Ovis aries: one gene and its partners. The protein of the gene in region 3 purifies or fractionates together with the protein of the main gene of each other region. This does not show direct contact. Links are inferred from orthologs where the notes say so. Each region holds a gene or a part of one and is shown on either strand. Other genes may lie near its edges.

Region 1 (4,837 bases), about 15 Mb from region 3:
CAGCCAGGGGTCATGAGAAGGTCAAGTCAGACAGTGTGGATGATTGCACAATGCTGTGAATATATTAAAAACCACTTGATCAGTACACTCTAAGTGGGTGGGCTGTATGGTTCGTGGACTGTCTCAGGCAGCCTGCCTGTGACCACGGGCACACTGTGTGGCTCCTGGCCCCTCTGGCTCTTCCTCCAGGTCTGTCGGAGGGGGTGGGATCAGCCAGGGAATGTAATGCACTAGGATTCAAACCACATGGTCCTGACCAAAGTAAGGGAAATAAGAAGTTTCCACGTGCAGGTGACCTGCATCTGAGCCACGCGGGATGGGTCACAGCCGAAGCGGACCTTCCGGAAGCACCACTGTGACTAATGAGTGGCAGGTCTGAGCTGGGGGTGCGGATGACCCATGACCATGCTAGAAGTCATGTGACTCGATGGGTGAGGTCTATATGCTCAGTCACTCCCTGGGGGATATGGTGTTGGCAGAGGCCTACAAGCAGAAGGAAAACCATGGCCAGGTCCAGCCCTGAGACAGACTGGCACGGCAGGGAAGGCCAGGAGTGAGAGGAAGCCCGGCTGCTCTTGGGTGCAGATACCTTTCAAAGAGCTTCAGGTTCCCCGGAGAAGGCCACAGCTCCTGGAAGCTGGCGCATGCCCACACGCTGGCATGGTTGTCCACCAGGTACTTCAGGTGGGAATGTACCTGAGGAACAACAGGAGTGGGGTGGGGGGTTATCAAGGGACTACAGGGAAGGCCCACTTCTGGAGCTGTTGAAGACAGGGTTAGACAGACATAGGATCTCCTGTCTCCCTCTGACCCTACCAGTAAGGCCTCCTGGGCTCTGTGTATCAAACTAACTAGCAGTTGCTTTGAACAGAGAAAAGAAATCAGACACAACTTTCTCTGTGGTTCTAAAGGTGGGGACAGGTCCTGGAAGTGGGGGTAAGCACCAGGCTGAGAAACAGGATATAATGCTATATACTTGCAACGACCAGGGAAACCGACTCTAGGGCTAACGGGTAGGTCAGAAATCTGTTTTGCTAGTGGGAGCACAGCTGGAATCTGGGCGGTCAACGGGGGCACTAGCAAGCATTTTAAGTGCAAAAGCTCCCACTGCCATTGGAAATGGCACTTGCAGATGTTATGAACACAATGGAGGCAGGTTTGGGAGTCAGACAAATGGGTTCTTGTGGGTGTTCCCCCACTAATTTGCTGGATGCCCTTGGTTAAGTGGCTCAGGGTGAGGCTGCAGTTCTGATGTCTGCACAATAAAGCCCAGAGCCCCTTTCAGCACTGGATATTATATGAGATTTGTCCTCATAAGGGCTTCCCTGGTGACTCAGACAGTAAAGAATCTGCCTGCAATACAGGAGGCCAAGGTTCAATCCCTGGGTCAGGACGATCCCCTGGAGAAGGAAATGGCTACCTACTCCAGTATTCTTGCCTGGAGAATCCCATGGACAGAGGAGCCTGGTGGGCTACAGTCCATGGGGTCACAGAGTTGAACACAACTGAACAACTAACACTTCTACTTCACACCATCTTCAAGAACATACTCTTTTTCTTCTTAACACTCTCCCGTATCTTGAGGGATTCAAATTTCACTGCCAGGAAAAGGTACTTTCTCTGTTAAAATAAACACTGCAAAGAGCGGACTCAAACCTTGCTGTCCTATGTTTTTGCTTTCCTGTCGTCAGAACAACCTCAAACGTCTACTTGCCAACATCACCGTTGGGGATCATCTACCCTCATCGGTAGCCAGAGTTTTTGTTCTGACATTTGAGACATGAAGCCTTCGTGGTAAAATCAACAATGCCAGGGTTGACACTGTGTTCATCTGACAACTTACAGCTCGGACAGCGAGGATATCTCCAACAGAAAGCCATTTCAGGATATGAAAGAGCGCATCTTCAGGGAGATTCAAGATTGTGAGGTTTCGAGGTCTCCTCCTTATTCTCCGCTTTGAAGGATAACAGAAACACTTGGCACACCTACAGTGGATCACTTAAGAAAACAAATCAGAATGGTTTAAGTGATGTGTTGGAAATGAACTGTGATATGAAAAGTTACATCTGAACATGTTTTAACAGTTACTGGTCCTCTGCCCCAGCCATAGTTACAGTCCCAAAGATTAAATAAAGAAGCCGTAGTGGTATAAGAGACATCTTCATTCATTCAAATTATTCGATAAATGTTTACAGTGAGTAGTAATCATGTAAGCTGGCCATTGGGAAACCGTCTGACCCAGAGCCCAGATAACAACGAGGAAGAAAGGAAGAGCAGACAGTGTTGATGATGATTAGCCAGGGAGACGCCTGGACTCTAGCTGATTTCTTTGCTTCTATTTGCACACATGACTAAAACATGAAATGTTAATAAGGATTTGAACAATCAGGTTTTCCAGTTCAAATTCAGAGGGTCCACCCTGCAGAGAAGCCAAGGGTGGACTTGGAGGGCAGGCCAGTCCCAGCTCTGTGGATGTCAGAGCTGTCCCGCCGGTCTCAGGGTCCTCTGAGACCCTGACAGGGGGGTCCTTCCAACTTAAGCTCCAGCAACTCTTTCCTCCCTCCAAGCAGAGGAGCTTGTGGCAGAAGGTGCCATTCCTGACGCTTCACCCGGTTCTTCATCCGCTCCTTCCTCCAGTCCCCACGGGAGGTGGCTGCTCCACCACCGGGCAAGCTCCCTGCTCAGGGCGTCTTCCTGCCCTCTCCCCTCGTTCCTCACCCGGGCTTCCCATCAGTAATTAACCTAATGCGAAAGCCGAGCGCATACGCAGCTCGACCAATCCTCGCCTTTTGCCCTATTATCCTCACTCCCTTGCCCTAGGACAGCCACGGTATAACCACGGAAATTCCTCGGCGGCGCTCACGGCCCTGCACAGGTGGTGGTCCCCTCGCGCCGCTTTCTCGCGGAGCTGGGCGCCGCTGGGTATTTAAACCGCGCGCCGGGTAGGCGCCGTCGGGACGATCCGAACCCCGGGCTGAAAGGCTCAAGCGGGCCCCACTCAGTCTGGAGGCCACTCCACCGCGCCCCGCGCCCCGCGCTCACCGCCTCCGCTCCCCATAGCCGTCGTCGCTGCCGTGGCCGCCGCCGCCGCTGTAGCCGCCAGACCCGCCCGCGGGCCCAGAGCGCGCCTCCCCACGCAGGCGCAGACCCGCCTGCCTCCCGCCTGAGTTTTCAAACGCGCCGGGCGTTCCCATTGGCCCACCACGGGGGGCGAGCGCCACTACCCCACCGGGCTCCGCCCCGAGCCACGCCCCCTCGGCATCGGGCGCCCGCGACTGGCTGCTCCAGGATGCGAATTCGAACGCCGGCTGTTGATTGGTGGAACCTGCGCGGCCGCCCCGCCTCCCAAGCACTGGCTGGGGTCTGAAGGAGCGCGGCTCCGGGGCAGTCGGCAGTGGAATTCCTGGTTTCCCTCCGAGCCGCGTTGACCTGCCCTATTCTGGGATTCGGCCTTGCCGCTGAGTCGGCGGCAGAGATCCCGGCGACCAGAGCCCATGGCGCACAGTGGGTTGTCAGTGAAGGTCTGAGCGGACCGGCAGCGCTTCCGAGCCAGGGGTCTCTGAGCGCGGACCCCGACGCGGTCTTCGACCTGCGTGGACGCAGGCGAGCGGGCCCCCGCGGGAGGCACCTCACCAAGGCTGCCCCCTGACCTTAGTGGCCTGCACCCTGAGGCCGAAGGCCCTGCCTCCCGTCCTTGCTTCAGGCGAGGAGACCCTTGGTTCTGTCCGTGCCGCTGTTGGTATAGATCGCAGGGCAGAAACAGGCCTGGGTGATTCATTCAGCGCGTCTGACTCCTTCCCTTGAAACGCGGCTCAGCCTGGACCCCTCCATCCCTCCCAGGGCAAACCCTCAGCGTGTCACCTGGGCCTTGTCAGTCTTCACCATCTCCTCGCGGTCAATTGGGAGCCCACTAAAACAGAAGAGCACGCCTGCTTGCTTTAGTGGCTGCAACACTCCGTTCACCCAGGTATTAGGCAGTGCCCACCCGGCCTTGTCTTTCAGGAACCAGCTCTCACCCCACCTCCTCCGTGAGACATTCTGACAAGGAAAGAAATGCAACTTCTGGGAGAAGTGCTTGATGGCCAAGGACATAGTGGTTTTTCCCAGAGAAGCCAGGGAATCTGGGTCAAGGCTCTCTTCTTACACTCTTCCCAAGGCATCAAACTGCTCTGTGCCCACACCCCTCACTCACACTGCTGTCTGAACTCCATCAGGGTACTGGTTCTGTGCTCAACAGCTGAACACACACAGGACCCAAGGTGCCAAGCCTCCAAGCCAGTCTGGAGTAGGAGACAAGTGAACAGATGATCACAGCGTGGCTATGAGGTTCCAGGGGTGAGGAGGTGGGGGTGGTGCGTGCAGAAGAGGAGTGGGTAGAGCAGAGCAAGCCTGGGGCCTGCTCCAACCCGAGGGGCGGGTCCTCCAGGCCTGCAGGCTTTCAGCCTTTCTCACACACCTGTGTTCCTACTGGCTAGAGCTTCCTGTTTGGTACTTTCTGTCCACCCCCCTCTCCCCCCCCCCCCCCCCCCCCCCCCCGTTAACTTTTTTGCTAGACTCCTCCAGGCAGAGGCCCTGGCTCTGAGCAGTCACAGGAAGTCATAGGAAAGAGGGGTGGGTGTGCAGCCAGACGTGGGGGTGGGAAGTAGGGCCGGGAACAGCAGACATCACGCTCCTTCCTGGAGCTTGGCTTAGAAGGGAGGGAGAGGGCTACCTGCAAAGGAGCCCAGCGGGGCTTGTGAGAGGGTCTAGCGAGACCACGCTGGAAAGAGAAGCTGTGTGCCCGGGCCCTTCTTGGAGGAGGGCCCTCTTGATAAAGGTGCAGGGCCACACCCATGCA
Region 2 (4,925 bases), on a different chromosome or scaffold from region 3:
TATCTGCTGAATGAATAGGTGAATTTCTTACTTAAGGCTATAATTTCTAGATTCCTAGAAGTTTGAAACATCTTTGATTCCTCTTTTTCCTTCAAGTCTGAAATCAAGCTTTGCAACTTTCCCTTCGTAATGTTTTCAGCTATCTCTTTTTTCTATTTTAATTTTCATTACTCTAGCCCATAATTTTATGTCTAACTTCTTACATAATGTTATGTCTAAACTGCTTCAATTCTCTTTAATGTGTTGTTTAATATAACTAATTTAACCTTCTGAAGGCAACTGTATAGCTCAAAAACCTTTAACAGCTTCTAACTGTTGAGCGTAAGATATACCTTTAAGGCCCTGGACAGTTTATTCCAAACCATATCCAACATCTGTTTCTTCTACAACCTGCTGTAAACTTTCTGCACTTGTCTCCTCAAATGTAAAGAATATGCATATTTCCTATCCCCAGTTTTTATTTACGGTAACTTTCAGCTCTAGAGGGCTTCCCTTGTGGCTCAGCTGGTAAAGAATCCACCTGCAATGCAGGAGACCTGGGTTCAATCCCTGGGTTGGGAAGATTCCCTGGAGAAGGGAAAGGCGACCCACTCCAGTATTCTGGCCTGGAGAATCCCATGAACTGTATAGTCCACGGGGTTGCAAAGATTCAGACAGGACCGAGTGACTTTCACCTTCACTTTTCACTTTCAGCTCTAGAGGGCTTCCCAGATGGCACTAACCTGCCTGCCAATGTAGGAGGCGTGAAAGATACGAGTCAGGAAGATCCTTTGGAGGAGATCAGGGCAACCCACTCCAGTATTCTTGCCTGGAAAATCCCATGCACAGAGGAGCCTGGCAGGCTACAGTCCATAGGATTACAAAAGGAGCCTGGCAGACTACAGTCCACAGGGTTACAAAGAGTCGGACATGACTAAAGTGACTTAGTACATATGCATACCAGCGCTAGAAGCTCGTTAACACTTTACCACTGCCTCCACTTACCTAAAACTACTCAACAGTCTTTGACCTTTATAAGGTATGAAAGTGAGTGATCATCGATCAGTCGTGTCTGACTCTTTGAGACTCCATGGACTATATAGCCCACGGGATTCTCCAGTATTCTGGAGTGGGTAGCTGTTCCCTTTTCCAGGGGATCTTCCCAACCCAGGGATTGAACCCAGGTCTTCTGCATTACAGGCAGATTCTTTACCTGCTGAGCCACAGCAAAGCTCTTAAAACATATCATTTCAGTTCAGTGGGTCAGTTGTGTCCAACTCTTTGCAACCCCATGAATCACAGCATGCCAGGCCTCCCTGTCCATCACCAACTCCCAGAGTTTACCCAAATTCATATCCATTGAGTCGGTGATGCCATCCAGCCATCTCATCTCCTGTCGTCCCATTCTCCTCCTGCCCCCAATTACTCCCAGCATGTAAAAGGTATTCTCACATCTAAATCTCTTCCTCTCCTAACAAATCCCTGCAGTGGTTGGCTACTCTAACAAATTATAACATAATTAACATAAAACAGGCTTCCCTGATAGCTAAGTTGATAAAGAATCTGCCTGCAATGCAGGAAACCCTGGTTCGACTCCTGGGTTGGGAAGATCCGCTGGAAAAGGGATAGGCTACCCACTCCAGTATTCTTGGGCTTCCCTTGTGGCTCAGCTGGTAAAGAACTGCCTACCATGAGGGAGACCTGGGTTCAATCCCTGGGTTGGGAAGATTCCCTGGAGAAGGGAAAGGCTACTCATTCTAGTATTCTGGCCTGGAGAATTCCATAGACTATATAGTCCATGGGGTCACAAAGAGTCAGACACAACTGAGCAACTTTCACTCACTAATGTAAGACATCCCTATGCTTTTTAAAACACAACTGTTCTGCTTCCCCTACACATTCTTTTAGGAACTTTAGCTGTCATTTAGATTTTACAAAGTGCTTTAGAGATTAACTTATCTAAGCAGAGATTCTTAAGCTTTCTCTAATAGTCAAAGCTACTAGTAAAGTACTGCATACAAACCTTCATTAATGATTGAGTAATTCTAAAAAGGTGTATCATATTTTCTTGACTTTCACTTTTTAGCTCATTTACTTCCACCTAAGTAAAGAGAAAAGCAACAATTTCATATTTTATAATCCTTAAACAAAATATAATAATTCTTTCAGTTGTTACCATTCAGTGATTTCAAGGACAATTTAATCATAGTTGTATATATGTATCTATGCTTTATCAATTAAGTACCTTGGATAAGGAAATTAATAAATTATCTGCCAATTCTTCTTGACGAGGCAGCTCATCTGGGTCAACCTTTCTTATTTCTTTCCAGTTTATATTAGGTGGCATCTTGAATTCTTTCAATGTGCTTTACCTTCTGTAATAAAACAAGTGGGTATTAGCATTTACAAGGTAAGTAGCATTACTGTCTTTACAGTAATTTAAAGTTGTTACAGATCACATTGTTACAACTCTCTACGGAGTTTGCAAAAAGTTATTGCTTCTCAATTGTGTAACAGATACGTCGATTAAATAGCCTGAATGAAAAGTACAGCAGTTGCAAAAAATCATCAGATATTTTATAGGTCAAATAATTACGAAGGCTTCCATGCTTAAACTATAAGTCAGAACTAAGATTCTGAGTCCCGCTCCTCCACGACCCCTTACCACCTCGAACACCTAATGGTGCCAAGTGCGGGGGTGCTTGAAAGGCTGAAGTTGAGCCCCGATTCGGAGAAACAAAAACTAGGATTTAAGAAAAAAAAAAAAAGTGAGGAAATATACGACTGAAACGAGTGCAGTTGGGCCTGGGAAATCAGGGCTGCAGCGAAAGGCAAGCAAACCGATTGCGGACAGGAGGCTAAGGAACGGGGAAACTGAGCTGTTGTCTTACCTGGGCCCCGAAGGTTAAAGAACCTGTGTGGGAAGAGACTCGGTTTGCGCTCACCAGGATCCACCTACCTACACCAAACCTGGCAACCAGCGGCGGCCGCTCAGCTACCGTACCCACTCGGCCCGGCCCAGCCGCCAAACCTGACCGCTCTCCAGCGCCCTTCCTATCGGACACTGGATCCCGCCTACTGGTCCGGAGCGAGTAATAGCGACAGCGGCTGCTAGGCGACACCATTCCCCACCCCGCCGAGGCCGCAACAAGAGCCCGGATGCTAGCGATGCCTACATTTCACGACCGTGGATGATGCTTTACGTTCAGATTCCCGCGCGAGTTCCCTGCACTGTGTGTTATGGACGAAGTGAAGGCGTGAGGTGAGGACTCCAAATCCCAAAATGCAGTTCTGCTGGGAGGCCGGGACTTTTGGACGATGAAGTCTCTGAGAAGTGGAGGTAGGCCGTTCCCGGCGTGCAGTGCGGGAGGCTGCGGCGGTACCGGGGTGCGGGGGGACCGCGGTGCGGGGGGACCGCACGGAGGCGGGAGGCGCTGCGGCCGAGGCGTGTCTGCGCTGGTGACCTGAAAGAGGCCGAACATGACTGTGCCTTCGGTGGCGTCGCTCGCCGGACCGCTCTTCCCGAGGTTTCTCTAAGTCAACCCCGGGTGGAACTGCTCCCAGGTGAGGTCGGGCTATTGGTTAGTGGCGGGGAGGAGGTAACGGGAGCGGTCCCGGGTGAGAGAAGCTCCTGCCTTTGGGGCCGAGGGGCCCGGCCAGAGTCTGAAGAGGTGGGAAGACGCCGCCCTCTCCTTGGGCGTTCGCTGGCGACGCCCTGGGTGGTGCCCTCTGTAAAAAGGCAGAAGTCTTAGCTTCTTCGATTTCATAGTCTGTCTCCGTACAGTGGAGTGGGGGCCGCGAGCTTGGCAGGGGGCGAGTGAGAATTTGGGAAGAGGACACTGCATCCTCCGACCTCGGCCGCCTTACCTGTAGCCCCATTATCTTCGCGGGTTGACGGACTAGAAGATTGAGCGAAGGTTCCAGAGAGGAGAGGTTAGAACTTGCCCAGGCCCCTGCTAGGAGATAGAAAGGGAAGGCTGCTCTGTACTCACCAGCCCTGGTGCTGTCACTTGCTTGGTGACCAAGGGTGGTTTTCCCTGACAACTGCCTTAAACGCTTGCAGCTTTTCTTTGTGCAAGTTTTGCCCATCGGGCTGCTCTCAACTATTCTGGAATGTGATACACCGCTAGGAAAACTTTCTTAAGCTGTAGACTTGAAAGCTAAATATATTTTCAACTGTTTGGACCAGTGCATCCATCTTTTTAAAATTTGAAGCACTTTCTTTCATTTGCTAACTATAATTGATACCGAAGTTTACTTTTGAAAATTTCTTTCCAAACCGTTCAGTAGAAAATAACATAATTTTGTGATCCACTTAGAGACATTCATCGGCTTTGTAGAATAGTGATCATTTTGTCTGGTCCTTGACTGGAAGATGGTATACCAAACACTGTTCATTAACCCTTTTTTGACTATGCCGTATGTCCCCATAAATTATCTTATAAATGAAAGTTTGTACCTGTTGACAAATCTGTTCTTTGTTTCTGTCAGTTTGCTTTTTTTAGAGTCCACATATAAAGGAGATCACAGTTGTTTTTCTTTCTCTCTCTGACGTTTCACTTAGCATAATGCCATCATGTTCCATCCATGTTGTCATGAGGTCATAAATGGAAAGATTTCTTTGTGTGTCTGAGTCATATTGCCTTGTGTGTCCATTCTATTCATACATGTTCTTTATCCTTTCATCCATGCATTTATGCTTAGGTTGTTTCCATGGGTTGGCTATTATAAGTAACGCTGAATGAATATCTCTTCAAAAGAGTGATTTAGTTTTCTTCAAATATATACCCAGAAGTGGAACTGCTGGATAGTATGGTAGTTCTGTTTTTAAGTTTTTGAGAAACCTGTATCATTGTTTTCTATGATGGTTTCATCTGTTCGCACTCCCACCAGCCATACACAAGTGTTCCCTTTTCTCTACATTTTTGCCACCAATACTTATCTCT
Region 3 (4,876 bases):
ATTATGTCTGGCATTGTTTCCTTTAAATAAGCAAGGGAAAGGGAAAGAGCTATCACTGGACTCATAACCAACAAGGATATGAATTGTGAAAACTGAAAAACTAATACGATAATATTCCTTTAAGTGTTCATTTTAAAACAATTAATTAACAACAAAAAAAAAGAGACAGGGAAGTGAAATTCAATTCATGACGTGGGATATGCAAAGATGAAATAAGATACAATATGATACTGCCCTAAGCCTCAAGGTACTTAAAAATTTAGTACTCTAATGTATCCAGGACAAACAATAGCACAAATGGAAATGAAGGAAAATCACACATGAAACTATGATTACATTATGAGAAAATAAGATCTATTGCTACTTTTGACAAACTGGTAGTCCTTTTTTTTTTTCTGGTAGTCTTATTAATAGCAAAACTTCTTCCTACCATCCCACCAATTCTAATTATTTCTATTTTCATTTATGCAAATTGAGAACTTAATTTCAAAGAAATGGTTCTCTAGCGTATAAATGAGATTATCTTGCAAACTTAAATTCATAAAACAAGAAAATAAAATACAAAACAGCTTACTGCATGATAACCAAAGCAGGCCTCATTTAGTCTAGGCTTCAACCCACATTATATATTAAAAATTAGAATAGGCAGAAGCTAAGATATAAGAGAAAATTAAATGATCCCCTCTCTACTAAAATGCTTCAAAAGAATTTTTAACACAACCCACACATCCAGCATTACAAGAAACAAAAATAGATTACTCATACAATTAATGTAATATACTTCCAATGGATACACAAGCAAAGCATGGAAGGTCTGGGAAATTTAAGGAAATAAAATATCTTTATGGTAATAGCTTTATATTTCTTTCAACATCATATAAATATGCCTCATTGCTTCAGAAAGTTAAATTCACATCCCTTAAACAGTATATGTTTGCCATACACACTGCAGACATACAGCAATATATTATTATTACCGCATAACTTATGGCCTATGATAATATCATGATTATGAAAATAACCAAGTGACTCTATAGCATGAACCCTGTGTCATTCACTATCACACTATCCTGCTGTTTCCCAAGTTTCATAACACTTACCCCTATCTGAAATTATCTTATTTCCTTGGGTTTTGTCTGTCTTCCTCCACCAAAATGTAATCTCCATAAGCACAGGTACCTTCTCAGTCTTGCTCACCACTGAATCCCCATTACATAGGACAAAGTCTGTACACAGGAGGCACTTCATAAAAATGTTGAATAAACAGAATAGTTAGCTCAAATAATAAAGTAAATCAGAAAAAAGAAGACAGTAGACTACACTGCAAAGAAGCTAGCAAGGAAGAATGGAATTTAGAGAATAGGACTTTCATTGATGACACTATTCCCAGAGAAAATGGTACCTCTAAACTGCAAAGGCAACCATTTAAAAATCGAGAGCCGGAATCCTATGTAATTAAGCAACAGGGAACTCCATTTCTCATGCCACAATTACCTCTGTTAACAGGGTTTTATTTTAAGGGAGCATTGATTACAAGGCCACTGCAACCACAAATCTACTGCCCCATACTTTACCACTAGGTATTACTGGTCCACTTGAATTAATAATTTGTTGGCTGCATCAAGTTCAGACATGGCCTGTCTTCTCCACTTAAACTAGGATCCTTCTCCAAATGAGCCTCTTTGCAAACCCCATAGACTCACAACTCTGCTACCTGCTCCTCCTCAGTGCTCCATCAGAAAAGTCACTGAAGGGAATCACGAAAGAACACAGAACATGTCCTGTTTACACATCCTAGCTACTTGTTTACCCATCAGTCTTTTCAAAGGGGCAAAAAAAAAAAGGGGAAGCTTTCTTTTTCAGGCACACAGGAGCTGAATGTTCTTGGCAATTCACTTACCATATCTATCCCTCGTTTCCTGTAAAATAGGTATAATCATAGTATTTGCTTTGATGAGATTCTGTGTGGATTCATTAATAGGACATGCAGAAAGCAACGAATGGGAGTAACTTTCATTAGGAAGAGAATGATGACGACTATTTTTTCCACTAGTTTATGAATTCCTAGAGGCCAGTGACAGTGCTTTAGTTTCTGGTAAGATTCAAATTTAACTTAAAAACGTGGAGGTTGAAGAGGGAGGGGACATATGTATACCTATGGCTGATTCATGTTGAGGTTTGACAGAAAACAACAAAATTCTGTAAAGCATTTATCCTTCAATTAAAAACTAAATAAAATTTTTTAAAAAAAACGTGGAAAGGGGGACCTCAGCTTCCTCATTTTGCTGCGTTCATTAAGTCAAACTCTAGGTGCCTGCCATTGCTTAAATTGGGAGCAGGGAACTGGGGTTATAACCAGGTAGAAGCAAAGGGTGGAAACCACCTAGTAGCATGAGGGCCAATAAAGATAATTTGCTTTTTTATCCTTCTCCTTGCGCCCCCAGAGAGTCACAAACGCAGGATGAAGAATGCGCCTAGGCCCTTTAGCTGGTGATAACTGGCATTCAGAAATGGCCAGTGCACACCCTGGGACGCTCCCCTTGCCAGGAAAAAAAAAAAAAAAATGGCCCAACCAGTTCTATCAACAGGAGATGGTTCCCCAGTTTTGGTCTGATTTTATTTACTGGGGACCCTCTGCCGTCTCCCCAGCGCCCCAAGTCCACCTTCCCCAGCTCCTCTGATAAAGCTCCATCCCGAGGACCCACCAGGCGGTGCCAGCATCTGAACATCACCTCCGCGACCGATGCCGCAGGCCCCCGGGGCACCCGCCTCCACACAGCCTGAGTCTTTCCAGGGGCTCGACGTCCGGAAGCCCCTGCGCTCGGGTTTCTTTCAGCTCCTCAGCGCGCCAATTCCGCCCGCCCTGCGGCCTCGCAGCCGAGACCCGCTGAGTCAAGCCCACTCTTAGGCACACACCTGTTCTCCCACGGTCCCGGCAGGTTTCCTCCCCTAGCTCCTGGCCTTGGTAGGAAGCAAACTGCTCAATTGGTACTGACTGAAAACAACTCCGTTCGCCGCCGCCTTCTCCTTCTCCTCCCCGCCATATTACGGTACTCTGGCGGCAACGCGGGCTCCTGGCAACCGCCGCCGCCACCGCCGCCGCCGCCGCCGCCGCCGCACCCCCACCTCCGGACTCCACCTCTTAGGGCCAGAACTTCCGGTGGCTGCTTCCGGGTCCGTTGGCCCGGTTGGGCCTTCAGAAAACTACAATCCCCGAGTTGCTGTGCGCGCCTGGTTTACGCGTCCCGGCCCAGCGATGGAAGGCGTTGTTCTTACGGAAGGCGCGGTGCACGCCGGGAAGCGTAGTCCTCACTGACCGCTCTCAAATTTTCTTTCGTTAGGAGCTGAAGCCTCGAGAAATGCTCCTTGAAGCTGCTATTTTTCACTTATCTGTAAAGAGATAACTTCTTTCTGTACAATCGTTGGAATACATACAGTAGGCACCAAATTTTTTTTCTCTCTTAAAAAAAAAAAATGATTGAATCCTAGATGCCACAACTTGAAGCTTCAACACTTGCCTACTCTTGCAAATCACAGGGAAAATACCTCCAAGAAACGAAGGCAGCAGGTTAAGAATGGCAGGAAAAGCTCAGAATGTTTTGCCAAAGTTCTCTGTCCAAACATATTGCCAGTTTTCTGTCAACTTAAAAAAAAATACCACAAGAGTTGTAGGTTAAGTTTTATTTGGGACAAAAATGAGGACTATTACTCAGGAGACAGCAATTCAGATAGTTCTGAGAAACTGCCCCCAGAGAGGCAGGAAGAGAGGTCAGTACGATTTTAGCGGAAAGGGATATGTGAAGTCAAGCACACGTTTTGCCAGAGGCTTCCGCTGGCCATGAGGAGCTGATACCACCATTAATGATTTTAGTGCTTTTCTAGATAGGAGGAGATGTAAGAATTGGGCTCATAAAATCTTCTGAAAATACCCAATTTTTCCCAGAGGACAAAGTACCTCATTCCTGATCTCCACCCTGAACTCCTTTCAGGATATGTTGAAGGTCAGTGGCTGCAGTGGCTAATAATTTAACCCTTACAGAGGCAAATGGCAACTGCCAATTTTTGTTGGCATTTTCAAAATATGACTTAACAGCTAGCCCCTTTCCTAAACTGGCCTTACTTTCTGCCTCTCTTACCCTCTTTCCCATGCCAATTTTCTCGTGTATAAAATGAGAGATTTAAATGTGCCTATCACAAGAGTAGTTGTAAGGAATACTTGAGATAATTCTTGCAGTTCCTTGTACAGAACCCCCATCATTAGACCTTAGTAGGAGAAGAAGTAAGGTTAAGAGGAGTAGCAGTAGAAATTTCATGGCATAAAACTGGGTAGCATGATGTTAGTCCCGACTCTGCCATTATCAGCTCATTTCACTTCACTTCTCCTGGCCTCAGCTTCTTCATCTATCAAATGAGGGCATTACTGAAATCCCTTCCAGCTTTACAATCTGATTATACCTGCTCTACTGTTTTGTTGTTGTTCAGTCCTTGAATCATGCCCAACTCTTTGCAGCCCCATGAACTGCAGCACACCAGGATCCTCAGTCCTTCACCATCTCCCAGAGTTTGCTCAGATTCATGTTCATTGAATTGGTGATGCATATCTAAACATCTCATCTGCTGCCCCCTTCTCCTTTTGCCTAGCATCAAAGACTTTTCCAATGAGTCGGCTGTTCGCATCAGGTGGCCAAAAATTGGAGTTTCAGCTTCAGCATCAGTCCTTCCAATGAATATTCAGGGTTGATTTCCTTTTGGATTGACTGGTTTGATCTCCTTGTTGTCCCAGACACTCTCAAGAGTCTTTGCCAGCACCACGGTTTGAAAGCATCAACTCTTCAGCACTCAACCTTCTTTGTGAGAAGAAACTCTCACTTCTGTA
Region 4 (4,967 bases), on a different chromosome or scaffold from region 3:
CCTCTCTCTCAAAGGCCAGGAACCTCGGATTCCCCACCCAATTACCCCCACTTACTCTCACTTACTCTCACTTTTAGTTCTTGGGACTCCACCCCCTTTCCCCTGCCTTGGTTTCCTCCTGTGTCTGGAATCCCTTTCTTCCTCCCCGGCTTCTTACCTCTCCGCCCGGGGGGATTTGTGCACCGTGATGGAGCTGCTGTTTTTTAGGATGCTCCGGGGCCGGTCCTCACAGGGTCTGTCTTGGCGCATGCAAGTTGACTCGGATATCGTAATGTTTGCCGAGTTGTACAACCCAGACGCCCCGGACCCCGGGTTGAACGTCCCGGATACACTGGTTCCAGGGAAGGGGGGATTAAATCCGTCAGGTTTTGTACGGGACCCAAAGCTGTGGCCCGCGACTTCCCCAGGATGCTGGTTGAGCCCGGTACCGAGGACTGCTGTCCCTCCGGAGGGCTGGCTAGAATCAGGACTGCGAATTATAGTTCCCCCATTGTGCGTGGAGGGCCCAGAACCGTGAAACATGGTTACTCCGGAGAGCAACCCGGCGCCTGACTCGACTCCTCCGATGCCTCCTGGCACCCCCCTGATACCCCCACCAGGGGATTCTCCATTGAGGCCGCCAGCAGCCCCCACACTTTCCTGCTTCTCCATGGCCCCACTAGGGGGCCACTCTCAGCTACCTCGCCCCGCCTCCCTGCTCCACATAGCCCCGCCCCAGGCCCCGCCCCCACTGCGGCTGGAGAGGGACGCTTGGGCGAGGCCTGGGTCCCCTCCCCCACCGCTCCCTGGAGCAGTGGGGGGCGGAATCAAAACTGTTTAGGGACCTCCGACTGGAAGCCTCTCAGGTTGCCCCTCCCTTTCTGTCCCACCCTAAAACCTTTCTTTGTCTTTGGGATTTGTTCCCGCCCTTCTCCCCCATCACCCTTATCCGAATTATCCAATCATAGTCATGGTCCCGGACGCCGTGCGAGAAACCTAATTGTGACGTCACACACAGTCCAACTGAAGCGTGAGCATCTAGGGAGTCTTGCTGGGGGGTTGTTGATAGCTCTGGGGGTGGCTGTCTTTGAGGGCTGTCAGCGTCGTTGCCTGAAACTACCTGCCAGGGTTCCTTTGGACTCTTTATTCGTGGCTTTAAAACCTAAGTTTGGTTGAACTAGAGTTCAAGATGGGCTTGTCTAGAAACATCGCGAACTCTTTTCGCCCCAAAATCCAGCCCGCTCTGTTTCTGCGGAGAAGTGGAGGGATTGCGACACTGTCGAAAGACATATCCGGTCTCAAGTGGTACGGAGTGTGACCCTCTTTATTTACAAAGCTACCTCTATGTGCTCAGGGCCCGCTCACACCGCTTCCGGGCGCTTGGAGCGAAGGAAAGCCCCCTGCCTCCTCCTGCCGTAAAGCGAATACTTCAAAGTGTTGCCTGTCCTCGACGAAGGCAGGGTCGTCGGTGTCGCAAAGCTGAAAGTGTTTGGGCACTACCCCTAAGTCGTAAAAGTGCCTGTGGCAGTCGTTTCTTCCACTGTCGCAAAAGCTCCCGGCCCGTCTTCGCCCCTCTGGAGCCACTCCGTCACCTCGCCCGTGCCGTAAAGCAAACCTGCCCGACTCTGTCGTCCTTTCTCTTCCCACCGTAGTAGTCCTTAGTTCCTTACTCCGGGATGCTTTATTGCCCGGCACTGCCGTAAAGCATATCTGGCCCCAGCCCCCGAGTCCTATTCCCCCAGGGCGTCTGTGCACCGCGGTTGCCACGGTGCCGCCAAGCGCGGCTGTCGCGCGGCCCCGGTGTCAGCGGCGATGGCGGCGGGGTCGGGTGGGAATGGGGGCTCCGGGGGAGGCCCCGGGCCGGGGCCGGGTGGGGGTGGGGGTGGTGGCCCCGGCGGGAGCGGCCCAGGGCCGGGGTCCGGCGGGGGTCTGGGCAGCGGCGGGGAGCTGCACCCGCGCACCGGGCGCTTGGTGAGCTTGTCGGCCTGTGGGCGTACAGCGCGGCGGCAGCAGCCAGGCCAGGAGTTTAACCACGGGCTGGTGTTGAGTCGGGAACCCTTGCGCGATGGACGCGTCTTCACCGTCCGCATCGACCGCAAGGTGCGGAGCTGGGGCCGCGGAAGCGAGATGTGGAGGGTGGTGGGAGGGGACCAGAAGGCGATGGGGGAGGACAGCTAGGGTAGCCCACATTACCGGATACCGAGAGGGAACCGCTAGCCAGAACACCAGGTGATGAGCAGGAAGGGAGCATGAAGCGGAAACATTAAGTCACAAAAATAGGAGGCAAGGAGAGCTTGATTTTTGTCAAGACTCAGGAGCATGGAAGGGACACGGGGCCCCACCCACTATAATGATTAAAGAACAATCCTCCTGGGATAATTTCTGGGAGACGGAGGATGGAGAGATGTCAGATATGTGATGGAAGGAGAAGAAAGATAACCAAGAAAAGAACAACCACTGAAGGACAAAAGCACACCGATAGGGACAGAAAGATGGGTGAGGAGAGATACTCAAAGCAAGAGATGTGTATGCCTGTGCGGTGATGCAGCGGAAATGCCAGGTGCACAGAGGTAGAATTTGGGAAGAGAGTGAGTTTGAGTGCAGCCAGAGCCTAGGAGAGAGGCCCAGAGAGAAAGAGCGAGCAATATACCAGCGAGTATGGAGAGCTGTGAATTTGACTGGTTGAGGAGCTACAGAGACCAGAGCAATTAGAGATGGCAGGAGCCTGGAGCCAGGGAATTTAACCAGCTTGGTGAGCCAGCGTGGGAAGAGCATGGGATCATAGACAGCGTGCACCCAGAGTACAGAAGAGAGTTGCTAACGGAGAGCAAGTCTAATCATTCCCTGAGACCAGAGTCCAGATAATACTTTGTGGGACTGGATCTCTGGATTGGGGATGTCTTGTATCTCAAGAGAGTAAAGCCCAGTTAGCTAAGAGGTGGGAAGAGGGGGACACAGTGGCCTATGAAGTGTGGGAGACCCATTCGTAGCCCACCCTGAGCCACTGTCCACTGCCCCATCACAGGTCAACTCCTGGAGTGGCTCCATTGAGATTGGGGTGACGGCACTGGACCCCAATGTGCTGGACTTCCCAAGCAGCGCCACAGGGCTGAAGGGAGGCTCGTGGGTAGTGTCGGGCTGCTCGGTGCTGAGGGATGGACGGTCTGTGCTGGAGGAGTATGGGCAGGACCTCGACCAGCTTGGCGAAGGGGACCGTGTGGGTGTGGAGCGCACGGCTGCCGGGGAGCTGCGGCTCTGGGTGAACGGGCGGGATTGCGGCGTGGCTGCCACGGGCCTTCCGGCTCGTGTCTGGGCCGTCGTGGACCTTTACGGCAAGTGCACCCAGATCACTGTGCTCCCCCCTGAGCCGGGCTTCAGCCCCCCTACTCCCAGCCCCACACCTCCCCTTGATCCCTCCGCCCCCCCTGAAGATTCTGCCTTGGCTGAACAAGGGACCTCTGGGGATGAAGGTGAGAATGAAGTTAGGGCAGTGGTGGGGGGACGGGGCAGACAGAATGGCTGAAGGAACGGGGGCGGGCAAGGCAATGACAAGTGAGGCTGGGTGTGGGCTGGGAGAACAGGGGCTAGTGGAGGGGTCTCCTGGCTGTGGTCCCTGCAGCAGGGGCTGAACCCTTATTCCCCTCCCATCCCACCTGGTCCCCAGCCTTCATGGTATCCCCAGCGCAGGCCCGACCGGAGACGTTTCCTAACAGCCTTGAGTCGCATAATGGTGAGGGTTCCTGGGAGGCCTGGGAAGGGGAGCGGGACATGAGGTGGACAGGGGGGGACCTCAGGAGAGGGGTAGGGAGAGCTTGGTGAGCCTGAGACTGAGAATACTCATTTCTGCTCCCTTCCTGTGTCCTGCTGTTGCAGACTTTGCCAGCATGGAGCTCTCCGAGGTGGTGAGCAATGCCATCCTGTCTGCGTACAACGGGGGGCTCCTGAATGTGAACCTGAGCTCCCCCCCAGCAGAGGAAGCACCAGGGCCTAGCGGTGCTGCCACCTCACCCATTGTCACCTCCAACGATGCTCTCCTTTTCCATGAGAAGTGTGGAACCCTCATCAAGCTCAGCAACAACAATAAGACTGCTGAGCGCCGCCGGCCCCTGGATGAATTCAACAACGGGGTTGTCATGACCAACCGCCCACTCCGGGACAATGAGATGTTTGAGGTGTGCAAGGTGTTGGGGCCTGGCCAGCGTCTCACCCTCTGGGAGCTAGAGATGGGGCTCAATCCCCAATGCTAGCAAAGGGTGGAGGTGGCCTAGGGAAGCTCAAAGGGCGGAGAGACTTTTTTCTCTGAGTTTACATTTCCCCTCTCCCTTCCACTGTCATTCCACCCAAGATCCGCATCGATAAGCTCGTAGATAAGTGGTCAGGCTCCATTGAGATTGGTGTCACCACCCACAACCCCAACAATCTGGAGTACCCAGCCACCATGACCAACCTGCAGTCAGGTACCAGCCCCTGGCATGGTGGGGGCGTGGCCTTTGGTCACTGAGGTGCAGGGAGCCCATACCCTAACCAAAATGTCTGCTTTCCCAGGCACCATCATGATGAGTGGCTGTGGGATCCTGACCAATGGCAAGGGCACCCGCCGGGAGTACTGTGAATTCAGCCTGGATGAGCTGCAGGTGAGGGTGGACACAGTGCCGGCCTCTCTCCAGGGGCACCCCTGTATATACCGAGCAGTCCTCCCTGGGCCCCATATTCTCTGATCTGGAGCAAGGCCCTTTATCTTTTGTCTGAAGGGTCCTTCTGAGAAGGGCTTCCCTGGTGGCTCAAATGATAGTCTGCCTGCAAAGCAGGAGACCTGGGTTTGATCCCTGGTTTGGGAAGATCCCCTGGAGATGGGAACGGATACCTGCTCCAGTATTCTGGCCTGGAGAATTCCATGGACAGAGGAGCCTGGCAGGCTACAGTCCGTGGGGTCACAAAGAGTTGGACACAAATGATTGACTTTCACTTTTCCTTCTGAGAAGGCAGGG
Region 5 (4,276 bases), on a different chromosome or scaffold from region 3:
AGGTCAGTCATATGGACTGACCTAGGTTAGGTGACTGTCCGCCAATAAAAATCCCAGATGCCAAGGCTTGAGGAAGCTCCGTGGTTGGCAATACTTCATGTGTTTTCACTCATTGTTGCTCCAAGAATTGAGCCCCACCTATAAAACTGCACTGGAAGAAGACAACTAGAAGCTGGAACTTGGTCTCTCCAGAAGTTTGCCCTGTGTGTCTTCTTCCTTTGCTGACTGTAATCTATATCCTTTCACTCTAATAAACATAATCATAAAGAATAGCTTTTTTGAGTCAAGAGTCCTTTTTACAAATCAAACCTGGGCATAGTTTTGGGGACCTTCAACACACAGTCACTGCCAGTTGCTGAATCTGGTATACAGTTCTCGGTCCTGTTACAGCACCTCTCTTCTCTCTTGAAACATGGCCCTGCTGGAGCTGGGACACACTCTCTCCCAGTTCTCCTCCCTCTCTGGCTGTCCCTTCTCAGTCCCTTTTACTCTTCCTCCTCTCCCACTTGCTAATCCCAGTAAATACTGACAGGTGCAGTCCTGATACTCAGAATAAATCTATGAAATCCTAATTTCCCTGGGTGACAGTCATGAAAACATGTAAGCCAGAGAATGAACACATAACTTCCACCATAGCCACCAAATTTTAACCCCTTCTAAGTCCCTACTGTTTTCCTTAATTCTTATGTCATCTACTGGGTTCTATGTAGACTTCCTCATCGTCTCACTTTTATACTCATTCAGTTTTTCTATATTTTCTGTATCTTCTGTGTTTAGGTACATAGACGTCCATAAGGCATGCATTTCATCCAACATTTACTGCTATGCTGCATCTATATTCCAATCTCAGCACTAGATACGGAGGCACGTATTGCAGTCCTTGCTCTCAAGCTGCTTTCAGTACAGTGTCAGAGACAAACCTAGAGTGGCAACATGGTATGGAAAGTGTCCCAGACACTAGAGTTTGATTCAGTGTTCTGAATCAAAGCTAAGAATCTGACACCCCCAAACCAACAAAACAGCATCTTCACAGTAAAAGCCTTAAAACGGACTTCTCACCCACCTCCTTATTTCACCAGTTAGGCAGACAATGTGTTCTTGCATCCTGCGAAGACGGATTTCATAGCGCACATCTCTAGCTTGTGGGTTGTAGTTCCTGGCATAAAAGCCCCGCCAACAGGCCTGAAGCTTGGTGGCTGCTTCATTCAGTTTCTGGAGGGCAACTTTATCTTGTCCCAACGGAACAGATTTCTGGGTTAACAGCCTGCAGGGAAGCTTCTCTGAAGCTATTTGAGACCTGGCTTCTTCACTGTCTGGCTGCATATGGAAGACATTGTGTCCAACTGACTCAGGAAAAGATGTAAGACTGTGGGTGTGATCCTTCAAGCCAGCACTGGTGACTGTTGGCTCAGGACAAGCTAACAGTCCATCTTTCTCATTTACCTCTGTACCAACTGCACTTTTTGTCATCTGAACAGAATTCTCATTTGCAGCCCCCAAAGCCTTTTCCTCTTCCTTGTTTGATAAGCTCTGGTTTTCTGGCCCTTTCACAGATTCATCTGCAGCAGCATCATCTTCTAGGCTCAAGTTAATGCCTTGCAGCCTCAGCTCCACTGTAGGTGATACTGGAGAGAGTCCTGATGCAACTGGCATAAAAGTAGACTCTGAAGAGAGGAGACTGCAATTTAACTTGTCCTCATCGGTCTGGATGTCTTCCAGGTGCAGGTCATTTCGAGAATATCTTGCAGTGTGTACAGAGGTTGGAAAGTTATTCTTAACAGCATGTGATTGGTCATCATGACTGCTTATCCCAACCCAAGAATTGACTTGGATGACAGGTTCTAAAAGAATCAACAGAATGTCACTGGAAACATTAAATATTTACGGAGGGATTTTTTTTCAGTTGTATCCCTTTAATGAAATTTAATCCCTCAAATATAGTAAAAGGCAATGAAATTATTTCAGTAATTTCCTCCAAAATGCCTTAAAATATCAAACCAAATATTTTTAAGAAACTAAATTCTTGCAATAATCATAAAAATAATCAAAGTACTAGGTCAAGTCAAAAGGTGGCAGTCCTCTGAATGTTTTCGAAAATTAAGACATTTAATAGTTATAGATGTCTGTGTATATTGTTGTTGAGCCACTAAGTCGTGTTTGACTCTTTTGCGACATGACCCCATGGATTGTACAGCATGCCAAGCTCCTCTGTCCATGAAATTTTCCAGGCAAGAATACTGGAGTGGGTTGCCATTTCCTTCTTTAGGGGATCTTCCTGACCCAGGGGTTGAATCCACATCTCCTGCATTGGCAGGTGGATTCTTTATCACTGAGACAAAAGGGAAGCTGCCATTTGTGTAATATACATATGTAATAAAATAAAAGATCCAAATGTTCACTTGAGCTAACAAGTAAAACATTCTGAAAATATGTACTGTTTCCTGTTTTATGATACCAAATAGATCAAACAAAAAAGGACCGGAGATCAGTTAACTTCTTACCGCTTTCTGGGACTACCTGGCCATCTTGAATGGGGCTGGAATGCTCTGGCACAAATGATGCCCTTGATTCAACAGGAGACGACTCTTCATTGTGGCTCTGGTTCATTAACTGCCTCTGGTGAAATCTAAAATCAGAATACCCTATGTGATTTCACACAAATCAAAAAAAGAAAGCTTCTCTGCTTCCTTCAACAATTCGCCAGGTAACAATGTCAAGAAGGGAGAAGTTTACAAGTTTTCAGAGTACATACCTTTAATGACCTCAAAATTACAAAGTCTCATGGATAGAAAATGTTAAGAAATTTATTTTTAAATCACAGTCAGACACCATCATAAATATACACACACAAACCTTCAAAGACAGGATCTCTGATGAAAGACGTGACTACTAAAAATGCTTCTAGTATATATAACGTTAGTTTTCTTTTTACGTTTTTTCTAAAAGCTTTATTTATTATTTGGTTTTGCCTGCGTTGGGTCTCTGTTGCTGTGCATGGGCTTTCTCCAGCTGTGGTGAGCGGGAGCTACTCTTTGTTCTGGTGTACAGGCTTCTCACTGCCAGTGGCCTCTCTCTTGCAAAGCTCGGGCTCTAGAGCTCGGGCTCAGCAGCTGTGGTGCACAAGCTTAGCTGCTCCACAGCATGCGCCATCTTCCGGGACCAGGAATCGAACCTATGACTCCTGCATTGCCAGGCGGATACTTAACCACTGGACCACCAGGGAAGTCTCTATAATGTTAGTATTTTAAAGCCCATGTAAAACACCCACATTAAAAGAACAAATGAAGTTATTTTAAATCCCAGGCTGCCAGGCTGCTAGGCTCTCCCCACTCAGGAAATGACTAGTAAGCAATGCAGCTACTGGGGAGGAAACCAGATTGCACTGCGTGGTTTGGCTCCTCTGAAAGCCCACTGTGGTGACCAGGGCCCCAGGGGTCCAGAAATGTGGCTGCAGCACTCTCTCCAATCCTGCTAACTCTGCAGGAAAGTTGCATCAGCCGCTACAGATAAATGCGCTCACCTCTGCTTGCTCAGAATCTTCTCTAGCTTGGCATCCTCTGCAGTTTGAAGGCCCAGCGTAGAAGTGAGAGGACAGACTGTAGCCAGATACTGGACAAGCTGGATGTGCTGGCCAGGCCGATACGCTCTCCCCTTGCCTTGACTATATAGCCATTCAGCTTTTAAACTGGAATTGGGGGACAGAAAGAAGGGCTGGCACTGGGGTAGACAAGATACATTTTCAGGCAGTAATGATCTTCCTTCTTAATATGCCTTTCCAGCATCACTAGATGTTTTTCATGAATAACATTTCAGTTAAAAAGAAAAATTATCCTCTGCTTTACTCTCCTTATTCTTGTTATGGTTTAAACATTTTTTCTTGCTTAGGGGCACTTCCAATGATTTGTACTAAATGGTTCCAAATATTTTAAAATTATCTTCAAAGAAGCAATAAGTATTCCCTCCATTCACTGTCAAACTGAAGTACCTAAATACATAAACTGTGTTTAAATTCACTAGTTCATAATGATAGTTTTTTTAAAGCCAACTGGTCACAGTTGAAGGATGCTAGTGAGCTACCATCTCATCATCTTTAAAAACTGATAAAGGGGGAGAATTAAATATTATTAATTCCATTTTTCCTATACAAACTATACCAATGAGTAACCAAATAGTTACTCCACAGAAGTATTCCAGCTTATTTAAAAATGAATTATAGAATTAAAATTTCACCATTTTGCAACTCTCAATGAATTAATGGATTTAGGCACTGACCGTT
Region 6 (4,276 bases), on a different chromosome or scaffold from region 3:
GCCACGCATACAATCAACCAAAGGCTAGAGTCCAGAACTTCCACAGAAGGTTGATTTCTAATTCACCTTTTGGGATTCCCTAATACTCCCCTCCTTGGGTGAGCCCTGATTCTCATGTTCCTTGAGACCATCAGCGACACTCTTGAGTTATCAGCTGTGTTCTCTGGGCTCCCAGTTCATCTTAGCTTTAGCCTCTGAAATCTTCTTACCTACTTGCCAACTTCTCAGGGTGTTGAGGAGTGTGTTTTGGGAAGTATTGAATATGGCACTTGTAGTGTGTTTCCAGCAGTAGTTGGGCCGGGGCTCCATCTCCTACCTCCATTGCTTGTATTGCCTTTTACTTTCTTAGCTCCTGTTTGAAAATGAAACTGACATTTTATTTTTTATTATTTTTATTTTATTTTATTTTTACTTTATTTTACTTTATAATACTGTATTGGTTTTGCCATACATTGACATGAATCCACCACGGGTATACATGCATTCCCAAACATGAACCCCCCTCCCACCTCCCTCCCCATAATATCTCTCTGGGTCATCCCCGTGCACCAGCCCCAAGCATGCTGTGTCCTGCATCGGACATAGACTGGCGATTTGATTCTTACATGATAGTATACATGTTTCAATGCCATTCTCCCAAATCATCCCACCCTCTCCCTTTCCCTCTGAGTCCAAAAGTCCGCTCTACACATCTGCGTCTTTTTTGCTGTCTTGCATACAGGGTCGTCATTGCCATCTTTCTAAATTCCATATATATGTGTTAGTATACTGTATTGGTGTTTTTCTTTCTGGCTTACTTCACTTTGTATAATTGGCTCCAGTTTCATCCATCTCATCAGAACTGATTCAAATGTATTCTTTTTAACGGCTGAGTAATACTCCATTGTGTATATGTACCACAGCTTTCTTATCCATTCATCTGCTGATGGACATCTAGGTTGTGAAACTGACATTTTAATACATTATAAGAACTACTTGTTTAGAAAAAAGAGAACAAAGCTGAGCTGGATGCCATAGATGGTTGCTTGCTAAGTTAATGGTGTCTATAAGCCCACAGGTAAGAGTCACAGGAAGAAGATAAGTGATCCCTACTTGAAACCAGTTATAACAGAATGTGAGATTAGATCTGTTATAATAATCAAAATATTTAGAATTTTTAGTTTGTAGCATTAAAAAAATTACATGTCAAGGTAGCAATGGTTCATTTGATGTCATAGTGAAATTATAATTGCCTTCAGCATGTCTTAAGCTCCCAGAGGGCCTGTAGCTTCTGCTTTTTGGTGTCTTTTACAGAATAAATGCTCAGTAAATATTTGAGTTTAATTATATGTGCAATTTGTTGACATTTCTCCCCAACTACAGTTCAGTTGATAGTGGGAGTAATCAGGTTAAGCAGATTCAATCTTGTGAAAGTCTTTAAAGTTAAATAAAATTTGACCTCAGAATTCCTTGACATGTTGTCTTCCTCAGTAGGACAATTCCTTATGGTCTTTCCTTGTGGATATTAAGGGAGTTCAGCATTTGCAGCCTTCACTAACATCATTGCATTGGCTGCCTTTTGTTATTTCTCTAAGAAGTAAAACCTGATACCTGTTTTTCCTTTTATGATTTTTACTTCTTTGTATCCTTATAATAATTAATAGGAAGTTAAGAAAATTATGACAGATTTTAAAAATCTTTTCTTGGCATACATTAAAATAATCAACATTATAATTAGTTTCTTTAAATATTGTATTTTGCTTTTTCCATTTCAATTGCTGTAGGACCTTGGCCTCACTACTGTCTGGGAAGACCAGCTTTCTTATCTCTTGTCACCAGCTCTGGCGTCTTATGAATTTGAGCGTACAACAAGCATATCTGCGGGCAATGAAGAGTTTCAGGATGCTATCAGAAGGGCTGTGCCTGATGGCCACACATTTAAAGGGTTCCCAATACACTTTGTGTATAGAAATGCGAGGCGCGCGTTTGCCACATGTCTTCGGTAAGGTGGAATTTATGATGTCTTGGTGTTTTTAACATAATTTCAGTGAACACTTGGCACTAATTTAGGAATGACTTCAGAGTCACACAGGGAGCTTCTGTAGTGACCTGTCCTCTTGCCTCAGACTCTGATTCATTAGGGCCAGAGTGTAGCTCTGGAGAGCTCAGGGTCGTTTTTCTGCCAAGGATCACTGATCTTGTCTAGTGTAATTTAAAAAACTTAATTGGCTATGAGGAAATAGTTTATAATTTGAATAGTTTTACCACAGTTGCAGAGTCCTTGATAACAGAGACAGGATTTTTAAAAATCATTTTCAATACCCGACTTTCTTGGAAATAAAGTAAAACCTAAATTCATTTCTTAATTGAATCCATTTTCTCTCTTCTAAGGTCTCCTTTCTGTGAAGAAATCATCTGTTGCCGTGGAGACCAGGTGCGCCTGGCAGTTCGTGTCCGCGTGTTTACTTACCCTGAATCTGCTTGTGCTGTTTGGATCATGTTTGCTTGTAAATATCGCTCAGTACTATAGGACTAAGTTTCTATAAGACTATACCTGTGTTTTATTAGAATTTTACACATTGTGTTGATAATAATACTAGGTGTTTTGAGGTTCATTACTTTAAAAATCACAATCTGGCTTCGATGTCATATTTAACTTTTATATAAGCCTCACTAATAATGTTTGAAAAGTATCATGATGTGTGTTTAAAAATTAAGGATGAAAAACTTGTATAAATTTGAGAGGATGGTAGTATAAATTAAGTGTTTATCTTATTTTAATAAATACTACTTTGCTTATAAGTAGTCAGTAGTTTAAATATGAAAATAAAATTTACTTAGTTTTCTTTGCATTAACAGGTAATCAGAAAGTTATTTGCCTAAGGATTTGAGCCATAGTGAAGTTAATACGATCATTATTTTTCATAGAGTAATGGGATTATTTTATATAAATTAGGAGAAATTAACTTCACAACATTTATTTATTACATAGATGAAATGCATTTTGATGAATTTACCACTTTCGTGGTTTACTCATAACTACAGGGATATTTGTGACTCTCTAGAGAGTTATGGGAAGACATGGGTGCAGGAGCAGAGAAAAAACTCATACCAGAAAAGCATTATTATTAGTAACAAACCACACATGAAAGTATACAAATAATTTATAAGTATTTGTTAGTTTGATTCATTGTAAAAGTGAATTGTGTATTTTATTATTTTTTTTGCTTATTTATTTTTGAATTATTTTAGAAAAAATTTATTATACCCTTTAGTTGTATGTTGAAAATTGTTTTCTATAATTGATATTGGCAGTCTGTTGCTGATTTTCTGTGGTCACAGCATTCTTTACTAGCCTCTCGTGGAGTTTATCTTTTGAAATCACAGTTTTTGTTTCTTTCTTTTCTCTTTATGATAAAAGCATCCATGTGTATGTGGTGAATGTAAATCAGAGAATCATCATGTGAGGCCACTGAAAAACGAGCATCTGTGAGTGCCTCCATGCTGATGTTTGTTTTTAAGTTGAGAACAGTGCACTTTGAAGAGGCTGTAGTGGTTTAAACTTTGTGAGAAGCTGCCTGATGGGATTGCCTTGCCATCCACCCACCTCTCTGTACAGCTCTCATTCTTTCCTGCAACCACTGGGCTTCTTATGAAAGTGACTATACCAAGTGGCTGTGCAAGTTATGCTTTTCATTGCTAATTCAACATGGCAAATAAAATGATATTTTAGAAATTAAAATCTAAAGATACTCTAAAATTTACTTTTTAATTTTTACATATGTAATTATTTATGATATAACTTGTTTTAAAAGTCTGAAAATAATCTCTCATACCAATTTTTATTGAAAATGACCAGAAATCAGAAGTTTCTTGAGACTGACATGACTTTAGAGAATCAGCAAGATAAGAATTAAGACTTTTTGGTCTGTTACCAGAGTTACTTGCAAAGCTATCAACAGGAAAAATGGCTTGTAATTTTCAGCTTTTGGAACAAACTATTTGTGAGGCATGTACTAGGAGGCAGACTGATACATGAGATCATGGCTGTGTTTTCTTTGAGGCTGAGCTTCCTGCATTACTGTGCCAGAGTAACACATGTACTTGTAATGCGCCTTTGGTGTAAATTCTAAAATAAATTTCCTTTTTACGCACTTTAATAGAGCCTGGCATGAATTAATATTTTCCTTTAAAGATGGTTTATTTCCAAATATTATTTCAGTCTTTTTGTCACTAGAATTCTGCTACTCTTCTTACTAATAATTTCTTTTTAAAAATTAAATTTACATTGTATATT

The links.
Region 1: the proteins of CCP110 (region 3) and CCNF purify together in Homo sapiens (affinity purification with western blotting; 7 studies listed by BioGRID and IntAct, with this or other methods). This does not show direct contact. The link is inferred for Ovis aries from reciprocal best matches to the Homo sapiens genes CCP110 and CCNF.
Region 2: the proteins of CCP110 (region 3) and CEP290 purify together in Homo sapiens (co-immunoprecipitation; 6 studies listed by BioGRID and IntAct, with this or other methods). This does not show direct contact. The link is inferred for Ovis aries from reciprocal best matches to the Homo sapiens genes CCP110 and CEP290.
Region 4: the proteins of CCP110 (region 3) and NEURL4 purify together in Homo sapiens (affinity purification with western blotting; 4 studies listed by BioGRID and IntAct, with this or other methods). This does not show direct contact. The link is inferred for Ovis aries from reciprocal best matches to the Homo sapiens genes CCP110 and NEURL4.
Region 5: the proteins of CCP110 (region 3) and CEP97 purify together in Homo sapiens (co-immunoprecipitation; 10 studies listed by BioGRID and IntAct, with this or other methods). This does not show direct contact. The link is inferred for Ovis aries from reciprocal best matches to the Homo sapiens genes CCP110 and CEP97.
Region 6: the proteins of CCP110 (region 3) and CEP76 purify together in Homo sapiens (co-immunoprecipitation; 4 studies listed by BioGRID and IntAct, with this or other methods). This does not show direct contact. The link is inferred for Ovis aries from reciprocal best matches to the Homo sapiens genes CCP110 and CEP76.

Annotation. Positions count from the first base shown.
Region 1 is NC_056077.1:2,457,883-2,462,719, reverse strand, and holds the start of CCNF (cyclin-F), read right to left. Parts: upstream 3,125-4,837; 5' UTR 3,059-3,124; coding exon 3,043-3,058; intron 1,999-3,042; coding exon 1,844-1,998; intron 697-1,843; coding exon 590-696; intron 1-589. UniProt on the Homo sapiens protein: Substrate recognition component of a SCF (SKP1-CUL1-F-box protein) E3 ubiquitin-protein ligase complex which mediates the ubiquitination and subsequent proteasomal degradation of target proteins.
Region 2 is NC_056056.1:124,433,458-124,438,382, forward strand, and holds the start of CEP290 (centrosomal protein of 290 kDa), read right to left. Parts: upstream 3,244-4,925; 5' UTR 3,156-3,243; intron 3,046-3,155; exon of another isoform or gene 2,871-3,045; intron 2,355-2,870; 5' UTR 2,327-2,354; coding exon 2,225-2,326; intron 2,081-2,224; coding exon 2,003-2,080; intron 1-2,002. UniProt on the Homo sapiens protein: Involved in early and late steps in cilia formation. Its association with CCP110 is required for inhibition of primary cilia formation by CCP110.
Region 3 is NC_056077.1:17,602,127-17,607,002, reverse strand, and holds the start of CCP110 (centriolar coiled-coil protein of 110 kDa), read right to left. Parts: upstream 3,145-4,876; 5' UTR 2,706-3,144; intron 1,243-2,705; 5' UTR 1,101-1,242; intron 1-1,100.
Region 4 is NC_056064.1:26,922,110-26,927,076, reverse strand, and holds the start of NEURL4 (neuralized-like protein 4), read left to right. Parts: upstream 1-1,785; 5' UTR 1,786-1,791; coding exon 1,792-2,079; intron 2,080-3,004; coding exon 3,005-3,449; intron 3,450-3,486; exon of another isoform or gene 3,487-3,643; coding exon 3,644-3,709; intron 3,710-3,852; coding exon 3,853-4,151; intron 4,152-4,324; coding exon 4,325-4,436; intron 4,437-4,524; coding exon 4,525-4,613; intron 4,614-4,967. Other genes in the region: uncharacterized protein LOC105607811, read right to left, coding at 158-651. UniProt on the Homo sapiens protein: Promotes CCP110 ubiquitination and proteasome-dependent degradation. By counteracting accumulation of CP110, maintains normal centriolar homeostasis and preventing formation of ectopic microtubular organizing centers.
Region 5 is NC_056054.1:166,991,680-166,995,955, reverse strand, and holds part of CEP97 (centrosomal protein of 97 kDa), read right to left. Parts: intron 3,686-4,276; coding exon 3,521-3,685; intron 2,627-3,520; coding exon 2,502-2,626; intron 1,842-2,501; coding exon 1,064-1,841; intron 1-1,063. UniProt on the Homo sapiens protein: Acts as a key negative regulator of ciliogenesis in collaboration with CCP110 by capping the mother centriole thereby preventing cilia formation. Required for recruitment of CCP110 to the centrosome.
Region 6 is NC_056076.1:43,547,177-43,551,452, reverse strand, and holds part of CEP76 (centrosomal protein of 76 kDa), read left to right. Parts: intron 1-1,763; coding exon 1,764-1,981; intron 1,982-2,370; coding exon 2,371-2,509; 3' UTR 2,510-4,276. UniProt on the Homo sapiens protein: Centrosomal protein involved in regulation of centriole duplication. Required to limit centriole duplication to once per cell cycle by preventing centriole reduplication.